Linked DNA regions of Yarrowia lipolytica. The main gene of each other region encodes a partner of the protein of the gene in region 2 in a complex. Links are inferred from orthologs where the notes say so. Each region holds a gene or a part of one and is shown on either strand. Other genes may lie near its edges. The genes, in order: YALI1_D27297g, YALI1_D02087g, YALI1_E00551g and YALI1_E18326g.

Evidence for each region.
Region 1: YALI1_D02087g (region 2) and YALI1_D27297g share a complex: the UniProt entries of both Saccharomyces cerevisiae proteins name them as parts of the mitochondrial small ribosomal subunit. The link is inferred for Yarrowia lipolytica from reciprocal best matches to the Saccharomyces cerevisiae genes MRPS5 and MRP2.
Region 3: YALI1_D02087g (region 2) and YALI1_E00551g share a complex: the UniProt entries of both Saccharomyces cerevisiae proteins name them as parts of the mitochondrial small ribosomal subunit. The link is inferred for Yarrowia lipolytica from reciprocal best matches to the Saccharomyces cerevisiae genes MRPS5 and MRP17.
Region 4: YALI1_D02087g (region 2) and YALI1_E18326g share a complex: the UniProt entries of both Saccharomyces cerevisiae proteins name them as parts of the mitochondrial small ribosomal subunit. The link is inferred for Yarrowia lipolytica from reciprocal best matches to the Saccharomyces cerevisiae genes MRPS5 and RSM27.

Annotation. Positions count from the first base shown.
Region 1 is NC_090773.1:2,728,111-2,731,010, forward strand, and holds YALI1_D27297g (mitochondrial 37S ribosomal protein uS14m), read left to right. Parts: upstream 1-1,560; coding exon 1,561-1,833; intron 1,834-2,337; coding exon 2,338-2,400; downstream 2,401-2,900. UniProt on the Saccharomyces cerevisiae protein: Component of the mitochondrial ribosome (mitoribosome), a dedicated translation machinery responsible for the synthesis of mitochondrial genome-encoded proteins, including at least some of the essential transmembrane subunits of the mitochondrial respiratory chain.
Region 2 is NC_090773.1:207,083-210,197, forward strand, and holds YALI1_D02087g (mitochondrial 37S ribosomal protein uS5m), read left to right. Parts: upstream 1-1,676; coding exon 1,677-2,615; downstream 2,616-3,115. Other genes in the region: YALI1_D02063g (uncharacterized protein), read left to right, coding at 1-654; YALI1_D02085g (uncharacterized protein), read right to left, coding at 856-1,434. UniProt on the Saccharomyces cerevisiae protein: Component of the mitochondrial ribosome (mitoribosome), a dedicated translation machinery responsible for the synthesis of mitochondrial genome-encoded proteins, including at least some of the essential transmembrane subunits of the mitochondrial respiratory chain.
Region 3 is NC_090774.1:54,672-57,725, reverse strand, and holds YALI1_E00551g (mitochondrial 37S ribosomal protein bS6m), read left to right. Parts: upstream 1-1,861; coding exon 1,862-2,157; intron 2,158-2,532; coding exon 2,533-2,554; downstream 2,555-3,054. Other genes in the region: YALI1_E00574g (uncharacterized protein), read right to left, coding at 1-238. UniProt on the Saccharomyces cerevisiae protein: Component of the mitochondrial ribosome (mitoribosome), a dedicated translation machinery responsible for the synthesis of mitochondrial genome-encoded proteins, including at least some of the essential transmembrane subunits of the mitochondrial respiratory chain.
Region 4 is NC_090774.1:1,830,983-1,833,557, forward strand, and holds YALI1_E18326g (uncharacterized protein), read left to right. Parts: upstream 1-1,677; coding exon 1,678-1,928; intron 1,929-1,999; coding exon 2,000-2,075; downstream 2,076-2,575. Other genes in the region: YALI1_E18303g (uncharacterized protein), read left to right, coding at 1-1,469; YALI1_E18378g (uncharacterized protein), read right to left, coding at 2,192-2,575. UniProt on the Saccharomyces cerevisiae protein: Component of the mitochondrial ribosome (mitoribosome), a dedicated translation machinery responsible for the synthesis of mitochondrial genome-encoded proteins, including at least some of the essential transmembrane subunits of the mitochondrial respiratory chain.

The DNA.
Region 1 (2,900 bases), about 2.5 Mb from region 2:
CATTGCAACATTACGAGTATGTACTCGAGCACCATCAGACTCTGGCATTGTGTTGAAGAGGAGCATCTTCACGCAAGTTGCAACCGGCTACTGTCGCTAGAATCAGCCTCCTCGCAATGTAATGTCCCATGTAGCCATTCCACCTAATCCCTTGTAATCAGCCACCGTCAAAAATTCCGAACATCTACTGCAAACGGAATGCACCATCCCTGAAGGTAAATAAATTAAAAGTACAATTACAATAAAGTAGAATCGAAAAAGTGGGACGGAAATGACGGCGGAGAAATTGAGGAAAAATGAGGAAAAATGAGGAAAAAATTGCTATTTAAATGCCGAAACTGGAAATAAATATACTCTGACCTGAGAATAGCCCAATAATCCCACATTTCGCCAATCAATACTCTTCAAACCTCGTTTCCGACACTCCCCACCGTCTCTTTAAACTCTCGAAAATGTAACCTAATAATCCTCCAAGCCCGAAATTGGTCTGAAATAAATGGCTAATTTCAAAAGAAGCAAACAAGAGACAAAGGATTCACCATTATCAAGCTGCGGCCCCCCGGCAGGTCACGTGACAATAACAAGAGGGGCCCGCTTACGACTACCTGCTGACGTAAGCTTCTGTATACCTTGTCGAATCAAAACTTGCTCCTAAACCGGGCACATCTATGCATGCACCGAGACGCAAGTGGACTACTGTATGTGCTGTACTTGCAGGAATTTGAGGTATTTCCACGTGTTGAGATGGGTTTGGAGTGGATAATTGACATCAAATAGTCCGATTATGTAGGTCTGGTTTGTTTATTGCCTTTTTCCCCGATTTTCCCTGATTTTACCCGATTCTCCCCGATTTTCCCCGACTTGAATCGTCCTCTTGAGACAAAATCTTTATTGCATTTTGCTCCGAAAATGTGTCTCAAACTCCGATCTGGGGTATGATTGGAAGTCGTGTGACTTCCTTTGAGTGGGGTAATGAAAACTGGACAATTCAGTCGTTGTTTCAATTTATTCAGAGTGTTGTTTGCTCTACAATACGTACGAGCACCCGTAGTTGTAGTTACGAAGAGGGTCTTATTCCCCGCTATAAAAGGTCGTAACCTGTGATAATGGTTACACTGACTAATAATGTCACCTGACAGGGTATTTTTGTTCACGAATAATTTCTAACGTCTTTATATATATTTTTGTGAGACGACACTTTACTATCCTTACAATATTCGAATTAGCTCTTATAAAATAACTAAATAAATATATACTTATTACAGTTCGTCAGCTTAGTCAGGGTAAGATGTGTCCTGTAAGTCGACATCACCGTCTCCCAACAGGAATCATGACGGATATGAAGAGCGTTTCTATGGTGAGAAAAATCTACATATATATATATACAAATACAAAATATGGCTGGAGTTGGTAACATTGCAGTAGTATGGCTTTTCTGATATTTTTACGTTTTTATACAACCGATCGTTGGCGTAGTCAGCAACTCCCCACTAGGCGAGAAAGTTTGCATATCAAATTTCAAATTTCAAATTCACTCGCTTCACACACCGCACAACCAAAATGCGACTGCCCAAGTTCAAGACGCCGTCGTGCTACATCGACGCCAAGGTGCTCAAGGATAACGCCATCCGGCACGTGTCTGCCCAGCAGGAGATTAACCGACGGGCCCTCAAGTCGATTTCGCAGAACACCACTCTGCCCATGAAGCAGCGGATCCAGGCCCATCTCCAGCTCACCTCCATGCCCGTCTTTTCTAACATCCACGCGGCAAAGCCCCGATGTGTCGAGACCGGAAGATCCAAGGGTATTATCAAGGAGTTCAAGCTGTGTCGAGTGAGTACAACCGAAGCGAAGACCAAAGGTCTGAGTGAAGAATGAGGAGTGGGAATGACTACAGTTGGGGAGAATGAGCCCCGCGAACGGGGATGGGAAATGAACCGCACCATCTTGAATGAGATAGCCCATGACCGGGATGTCGGCGATTGGAATGAGTGACAGTGCACATCGAACGGTAGGAAGTGCAGCAGAGAGACCATAAGTGCAGCAGTAGACCATAAGTGCAGCAATAGACCATCATGTTGGTTTCGTCTGTCGTCTTTTTATGCTGATTGCTGCTGTTTGATGCGTTGTGATTTGATCGGTATTTTTTCTGGACTTATTCCACGAGTTATTGGATTGGACACTGTCTTACCAACTGCCTTACAGACGGTTTTACCGACTTATCGACTTACTGGCTGCATTGTGTTTTGCTTCTCTCAACCTCTCTACGCTATTCTCACTCCTTACTCCCCTTACTCCCTTCTCTCCTGTTCTACTGTCCTTTCAAAGCTAACCCAGACCGCATTCCGAAACAAGGCCCTCAGCGGAGAGCTGCCCGGTGTCCGAAAGGCCTCGTGGTAAATATCATGTACATATCAATTTTAGTCGAACCTGAGCGGTGTAGATGGACAAATACAGTAGACGGTCGAATACTACATTATCGGATTGGAAAGGGGTTTATCGATACTCAGCTAACATTCTGCATCTTTGAAAAGAACCGTCTGTATGTAATAGTACGTGCATCCAGTATCAAGCACTCGTTCTTCGCGGAGCTATACCCACAAACTCGTATATTGTTATATTCTCACGACATGGACTGTAGACAGGTACTCGGAGTCTGGGTCCATGGATTAGGAACTGCAAGTTTCATCACTCGATGACAGAGATAGTCAAACAGAGAGACTGTTAGGGTGATAGTAAGACATGACTGACGAGCGTCAATATGTTGCACTATTCCTCCAACAGGTCCCTCGTCAAGGTCCCTCGAACAGGTTTCTCGAACGAATCCCTCCAAAAAGTCCCTCGAACAGTATCAATTTCTCGCTACTCTCGAAAATGCCACACCCGATGCAACGCTTGAC
Region 2 (3,115 bases):
TTCACCAAGAACTTCAAGAGACGATACCCCGAGGACAAGCTCCAGGCCGCTGGTGGCTTCTCCTTCCTCTTTGGCCAGGTGGATTTGAACGGGAAGACACAGTTCTCCATCATTTCGAACCGTGGTGGCGATCATGAGTGGGTGGCAAGGGATCCAGAGGACCAAACCATTGGAATCTCCAACTCGCTGTTCTGCAATCCTTGGCCCAAGTGCGCTCTGGGAATTGAGCGGCTGGATGAGGTAGTAAAGGAGAGCGTGGAGTCTGGAAGCAGTCGCAAGGAACTTGTGGACTCGTTATTTGACGTTCTTTCACACGACACGTTTGATCCCGGCGCCAAAAAGGGCGCCTCCGAGCAAGAGATCCACCATGCCCTGCGCCAGTCAGTGTTCATTCCCGTCATTGCTGCTGCGGGGTACCAGGAAGGCCAGGACTGGAACGTGACGCACCCTTTTGGAAAACACTATGGCACTCGGACACAAACCATCATCATGGTGGGTAAAGACGGACAGCTGCGGTACTTTGAGAAGACTCTCCATACAAAGGACACTGACGAGAAGGAGGAGCATCCGTTAGTTGAGCATGTTTTCGAAATCAACAAGGAAAATAAGAGCGGGGGAGGAGGTTCTGGAGGTTGGAGGTGTTTGTTGTCGTGAGCAACAGCAGTTAACAGGTGAGTGTAGTCGTGAACGAAGACGACAAACCCGCCTCAGAGGCACTGAGTTTCTGTGATGTAGTCGTGACCTTTCTCGGCATCCCGCGATCTTCCGATTCAGATTTTAAATAATGCTCTATTGATACTATGTGAATTACAATCTCCATGCCCGTGGATTCTAGATCCTTCCTATTCCTTTTGCTTACTCCTTGGACTTCTTTTCCTTCTTGTCTTTCTTTTCCTTTTTCTCCTTCTTGTCCTTCTTGTCCTTCTTGTCCTTCTTTTCCTTCTTCTGCTTCTTTGCAGAAGGCTCCTCGGTCGTCACATCCTCCTGGGATCGCTTTTTGGTACTTGTAGATTTAGATGCAGTCTTCTTGGTCTGGCTAGCAGACGAAACAGGCATGGCAGAATCCAGTCCGTAGTCCTCGGGTCCGTAGCCAGTAGGGAACCATCTCTGATGCAGACCGTCCACCTTACCAACAATGGGTTTGGGCACACAGACCTGTTCGAGGTCGACAGGAGGCAGAGACACCTTCTCGACGAGCTGCAGCTGCTCGGAAACGGTCTGTTGGGTGGCTCCAAGGTAGTCCGCGTCGGTCTTCTTGCCGAAGACAAACACATTGTGTCCTCCCTCCATGGTCTGCAGAATGTATGTCTTTTTTCCGAGGGTGACCTCACCGTCGATTTCCAGCGGCTGTGATGCGAGGTCGGCCATTTCGACGCCCTTGGGGAGCTTGATAGACCACAGGGTCGTGTTTTCCTCGGGCAGGTCGGCGATCATGATGGTTGGTGTGTGGGTGTGTGGGTGATTTCGAAATTGAATATGCGATATGCACAAATTTTTGATTAAAGTTTTTAATTGATATTGAGTTGACTTTGGTGGAAGTTGAACTGACAACCATTCAGAATGTAGCCTTTAATTCAACTTTGGGCGGAGTCGAACCAGCGGGTGAAAATTACCTCGCATTTGTGTGATTTTGCACAAACCAGATCACAAACCAGCTCACACAACTACAGTCGAAAATGCTCCGACAACTGGTGAAACAGACCCGTGTGGGTTGTATGGCGACCCGAGGCTACGCCAACACCGCGGCACTCGCCCATGAAGAGCGGCTCAAGCACCTCAACTTCCTGTCGCAGTACTACGACGCCGAGACGGTCGAGTCGATTCTCAAGGCCGAGGCTGCCATCAAGCCTGAAGAGTGGGCCGCCAAGTCGCCCCTGTCGCGAATGTCGCCCGGCTACTTTGACGACTTCACCGAGCACGATCCCTTCTACGATCACGCTACTAACAAGTGGACCAACTTTTCGCAGCCACGACAGCCAGTGCCCACCGAGCACGTGCTGGGAACCAGCTCGGCATACCCTCTGGGCTCGCTAGAGACCGGTGACGAGACCGATTCTATTGTGGACACAAAGTTCACCGAGAACATCGAGCCCCAGTTTCACGACAGAATGACTCGAAACACCAGACTCCTGCTAAACAGAATTGTCAAGAGTCAGACCGGAAAGGGAAAGAAGATGCAGTTCTGCGTGCTTGTGGCAACTGGAGACGGCAAGGGAATGCTTGGATTGGGCGAGGGTAAAGATCCTCTGTCTTTCCCTGTGGCTCTCGAAAAGGCCATGTGGAAGGCAACTCGATCTATGAAAATGGTGCCCCGATACCAGAACCGAACTATCTACGGCGAGGTGTACAAGAAATTCCACGCCGTGCATCTGACCATGCGGTCTGCTCCTGCTGGTCACGGTCTGCGAGTCAACCCCATTGTGTCGCAGATGTGCAGCATGGTGGGTATCACTGATATGACCTGTAACGTCTACGGCTCGCGAAATCCCCTGAACGTGGCCAAGGCCGCCTTTGAGGCGCTCACCCAGGAGCAGGTCATCCCCGACTCCATTGCACAGATCCGAGGCAAGAAGCTCGTTAACCTGAACGAGACCTACTTCGCCAAGTCGGATTAAAACTTGTATATAGCCTATGAAGTGCCCTCGATTAAAAAGAAGGAGTGGACCGTAGTCAGATTGTAGAGCGAGAGTGTTTAAGCAAACTTCAACTCTCTTACGTGAAAACGTGACTGAGCAAAAGAGCAGTACAAGTACAAGTAAATACTGTGTACTTAATGGCGGAGTAGTCAGTCAAGATACCTTCTTGATCCAAAGCCACTCAAAGATCTGTTTTCCAGACAAAGGTGATATACAACAACGTCTGCTTCTACTTGTACTGGTATATACTTGTACAGTATGTCCTCTAACCCGCGTTTTGCTATCGCTGCTACTGGTACACCACAGTGTGCCTGCACACACGGTACTACAAGTAGCGGTATTACTTGGCGAATTTTTATCAAGAGCCGACGAGACATGAGACTAAGTTGTACCGATATGAATAAAATGCCATTTTGAAGTCCCGCACTTTCTAGCAGCTTAATAGAAGTTATGAACTGAACTATTTCAAACATGACTAC
Region 3 (3,054 bases), on a different chromosome or scaffold from region 2:
CTCCAAGGGCCTCAGCAGCGTACTTGGTGATACCAATGAAGGCAACGCCGTCCTCGTGGAAGGCAACCCAGTCGTGATCCTCGGTGAACTTGAGGGTGTACTTGTTGGAGTACTTGTCGGGAATGGAGCCCTTGATGAGGGTGTGGTTGAGTCGCATCATGGTCAGAGGAGCCATTGTAGGAGCCATGGTGGCTCGGGGAGCGAATCGGAGGGAAGATCGGGCCAGAGTTCGAAGCATTGTGTGTGTTTTTGTGAGTGTAGTTGTGGTGGTGGAACGATATGTTGTCTGGGGTAGGCCACAGTTAAGTTAGGTGGATTGGGGTGACTCGGTTTGACTCAGTGAAGGTAGGGTAAGTGAAGTAGAGAGAACTGTGGGGGTGATCTGATAAATGTGGGTGAATAATGAATCACAAGAATGAGAATCAATATAGACGAGAACAATTCCCGACCACCCTAGACTCTATATACACCACACAGTTGCTCACAAACTCGAGCTGTTCTAGGCCGGCAACTAAACCTTGGACTATTGAGACAGCCGCCTTAACGAGATACGATAATGTGCAGTAGTTGCAACTGCGTACTCAGCTGCCTGTCAGACTCAGTGCTGAGAACACGATAACACTGAGTACAGTTGACGCGGGTGACATGATAGAAGCCGACTTGAGCTTCGAGAAATCGAATACTTGGGCCCCTTCTGTGATCTGTCATTGCTCCTGAAGGGCCATCCCTAGACTGGAACCACGGTCCAATTCACCCCACACAACCAATGATTCAGCCGCACATGGGTCTGATGCGTACTTATGTGCACAACTTGCAGGCTCGGTGCTTCATCAGAGGATACTATGGAAGCAGCTTTCAGGCGACCGTCTGAATAGGGGACAGTACGAAATTTGGCTACAAACAGGCATCTACAGTATGTACACACGAGTAGTCGAGTGGCTGAGAAATAGTTGACAGATATTCTACAAGTACAGACGTGTGTCGGTTGATCGAGAATCCATATCTTCTCAAATGATATACAGGAGAGGTAGACTTTTTCTTTCTTTCTCCAGCGCCGTTCCTAATACTTGTACTATTACAGTATCTCGAGATATCACCGTTTTCCAGGCACTTAGGTAAGTGTCTTAGTTGGCTGATTACTTGGGTAAAATTTGAAAGCCAGGACATCATCAATATCATTTAACTAATGTCTGTTAGCTGCACAAAAATGGAAACAATCCCAGAAGCACTCATAGCTCTTGCAAGATACCATTTATCAATAGACCCCATCAAATAATCATCATTAACCAGGACTGTGGTCTCGAGAAATGTGACAGGCCATCAATGCTCTTCCTACTGTAGGTTAAAACAGGTTAAAACAGGTTAAAACAGGTTAAAACGCCATCTGCCCGTAATACTGTAGTCAGTGATATTACATACAGCGACTCTCTCAGAGCAAGCTACAATACCTGCCGGTATGGTACTTGTCCGAGATGTTGCACCCACAGGTCATTTCCAGGTATGTACAGTACATACTTGATACTGGTACATGCTCCGAACGCAAAAAATGCACGTGACTTTTACCTGAGCAGTAATTAGAGATGAATGTTAGCAGCATCTGGCTTACATGAACGCAGTCATATATTTTATCCACTTTGAGAGCAACCAGACCCCTCAGGTAAATTTCCTTTATTGTTCATATATCCGACCTACCTATTTCGGCTCGATATTAAAGTGCTCTTAATTACTCACGTATTGTACTGACAGACCGACCATGTTCAGAGTGCCAAAATAAGGTTGCAGCATCCAGTAACATTTTCAACCTTCATCTCTCACACGACGTCATCGCATCCCAACTACCCCTCTACACAACAGACTCGAAATGCTCTACGAACTCGTTGGAATCGCATCGGTGACTCCGGCACACGCGGCCGCCAAGCAGGCCGTCACCCAGATCGGCCGAATGATCATCGGCAACAGAGGCGTGGTCCGCCTCATTGAGTGCTGGCGATTCAAGCCCCTGCCCCAGATCATGAAGGCCCAGCAGAAGAGCTACGTGGTCGGCGACTACTTCTACATGAAGTTCGACTGTTCTCCCGGAGCCCAGGGCGAAATCATGCGAGCTGTCCAGGCTGACCCCCGTTTGATTCGAACCTTTTGCGTCAAGCTGAATGAGAAGTGAGTATGATATGGTTGCTCTTGAACAGAGTAACGAAGCTGGAGAGCTAACTGGGACAGGCGAGAGCTATTTTGTGAGCAGAAGTGCCCGTTTGGACAAAAAATGAAGTCTTTGCTCATTCTATCCTTTTCTATTTAAGATGCTCTTTTGACAATCATTCTCTAATCTTGAGTGGCGTCTTGAATAAGCAACCCAAGTCTAGACACGGACATGTTGGATTCTAGTCTTCGCCAAGCCGTCGGAATTCCTCCTCTGTTACCTGAAATAGCACCTCGAGCTATTAGAAGCGACCAGACATTTATATACGACTTGAGGCAGTTCCTCGTTGCATTCAAACAACTATATTTCTACACATCTTCAACATACTAACACAGATCCAGCAAAACCCTCATCTAGCATCTCTATTTAATGTACATATTCGACACAGTGTAAGTGATTTTCTTGCCTAAGGCGTGCCTGTAGGTGGACAGTATGTTCAAACTTCAGAACAAGGGCATTAGTTAAGGAGTAAAGACGACTCTTGCCCGTCTTGTGTGTGATACAACTGTTCTTATCTCGTGTATCCGAGACACTGTTTTAGCTAATACATGGTCTCGAACACGGGTGTGTGTGCATACTCATAAGACTACATACCGGCACTGGTACGAGGGAGTAACACTGTCAGTAACTACAACTGTTCAGATATGAAGTCAAATAAATCTCTCACGGCTGCAATATCGTAGATATATACTGGTGCCGTACATACCTGTACACGGATTACAAGTCGTTAATCGTCTAAAGGTCTATGCGAGTGTCGTCATGACACGACGACTCATTGGCAAAAACTGCATATGCTACCTTTAGTATGTACTGTACATACATCAATATCACACGAACCCCATTAACGTACTGTTTAT
Region 4 (2,575 bases), on a different chromosome or scaffold from region 2:
CCGCATCACAGGTTTCAAAAAGCTGGAACTCCATTGTTGAAAGCTTGGGCGCAATCTGGAAGGGTCTTTCAGAGAGCCACCAGGCGCCCGTTACCGATGCTGACGTTGCCAGAGCTACCGAGCAAAAGTGGGACTATACCACGTGGGGGTCCGAGGACACCGATCCTAGCATTGTCGAATCCACTCCTCTGTACAGCAAGATCAACCTGTACAAGAGCATATACCGTCGAAGACATCTTATTCGTCGCAACTGGATGGATCCCAACTCCACACCTGACTCCACATGCATCCGAACTGGACGGGAGGCAGTCATTACTTGTCTCCAGTTTGATGATGACATCATTGTCACTGCCAGCGAAGACCCTTGGATCAACGTCTACGACACTAAAACTGGCCGTCAACGAAGTCGACTCGAAGGTCACACTGGAGGAGTGTGGGCTCTGCAGTACGTTGGTGATACATTGGTCAGTGGAAGTATTGACAGAACTGTTAGAATTTGGAACATCAAAGAAGCACGATGCACCCACATTTTTACAGGTCACGTCTCTACGGTGCGGTCACTAAGCATCCTGACTCCTGTGCCAATGAGCCATGCAATGTGTGCTACTGCACGAACGGAGAGCACCGACCCCGATGAGATGTATCCTTCTCGACCTCTCATTGTTACTGGATCTCGGGACAAGACACTGAGAGTCTGGAAGCTTCCTCTTCCAGGCGAGCCTGAATGGCTGGATCAGTCCACTCAGGATCCCTACTTCATGAAGTCACTCCAGGGCCACTCTAATTCTGTTCGCGCCGTTAATGGCTACGGTGACACTCTTGTCTCTGGATCTTATGACACTACTGTGCGTGTCTGGTCTATCAACACTGGAAAGTGCAAGTTTGTACTTTCTGGACATCACAAGCGAGTATATGCTGCTGTTCTTGATCATCAGCGTAATCGATGCATCTCTGGGTCGCTTGACTGGAATGTGAGGGTCTGGTGCCTTGAGTCAGGATCCTGCCTGTACACTTTGGAAGGTCACACCTCGCTTGTTGGTCTCCTTGACCTCAACCGATCTTGGCTCGTGTCGGCTGCAGTTGACTGGACCCTTCGAGTTTGGGACCCCGAGACTGGAGGCAACATACATAAGCTGGAGGGACACGCGGAGGCAATTTCTTGCTTTCAGCACGACGAATACAAAGTTGTCAGTGGTTCCGCAAAATGCTTGAAGCTCTGGGATATTCGTACTGGCAAACTTGTGAAAGATTTGTTCACGGAGTGTGAGTCAATCTGGCAAGTGCGGTTTAGTGGATCCAAGCTCGTCGCAGCTGTCCAGAAAGACAACGAGGCTTATCTCCGAATCCTGGATTTCGATTATGAGCCAGGAACGAAGACTGAGAAAACGGTCTACGTTGGAAATGAGGATGACATCAAGGTCGAAGACGAGCTTGACACCGCTGCCGCTCCTGATGTAGCTCAATCCTAAGTTTCATACAAGCTACATGGGCATTTACATTTGCCCACCCATATATTTAATTAACAGGATATTATTTACGATACTCGTATCACATACCTTCATACAGTAATTCTGATGGCTGTGTTTTCAAATGAGCTTATCGGGTCACGTGTGTTTAAGGTTTCAATGAGATGTTAGCTTTTCAGTCCCAAATCACCACAACACAACTCGCACCACGATGAACCCCATCCGGCCCAGCAAAGAGCGACTTACCTCGTTGGCAAAATTGACTGCCCAGGTTTTTAATCGGTCTTACAACCCCGAGAACCTTCGACGTGGCACTAAGGCCCTCCGGGCACCGCTGATTGGCGAGCAGATCAAGAGCTACTACCCCACAAGCGACTTCAGCATGAAGAGCCTTCGAGAGGCCATGCCCCAGTTTGGTTTCGCAGACTACACTGAGTGGTACCGACTTACCAACGTTGTTCAGTGAGTATTAGATCCTATTGTATAAAGGCTACTAGGTACACGCACAATCGTGGTTCAATTATTAACAACAGGCGAAAGAAACGAGGAAAGGGAGCCCCTAAGAAGCTCACCGAGAAGAAGGCGGCCGGTGGAAAGAAGAAAAAATAGGCATGCTATTAATTTATACTGCCATGTACATAGACGAAATACAAAGCACGTTTACTACGGTGTATATGTTTCGATTAATTTCAACATTTCTATAAATTATGTAAGTATATCCATGGTTAGATGTAGTCGTGGCTATCGTCGTCAAGTGTTTCATCCTTCTCGTCATCTTGCTCTGCACGTTGGTATCGGCTAGCTCGTTTGGACAGAGCTCCACCCCAAACGGAGTTCTCAAACGAGTCGATGAGCTGGTCTTCCTGTCTGTGGATGAGGTTCAAATCAGAGGAGTCTTGGTCCTTGAAATTGTCACTGTCGCCTGATACGCGCCGGTCCCACATAGAGTTCCTGTCAATGTTTGACCGTTCCGAAGTCCATGAGAAACGGCCAGAGCTGCCAGCATTCGGGTTCGGTGTCATTGGGTCTGTAGACAGGAAGTAGTCTGCTGGAACTGGAACACCATCAGGTGTTGTAGGTACCTCTTCCACATCGAAGTCCGCCGTTTT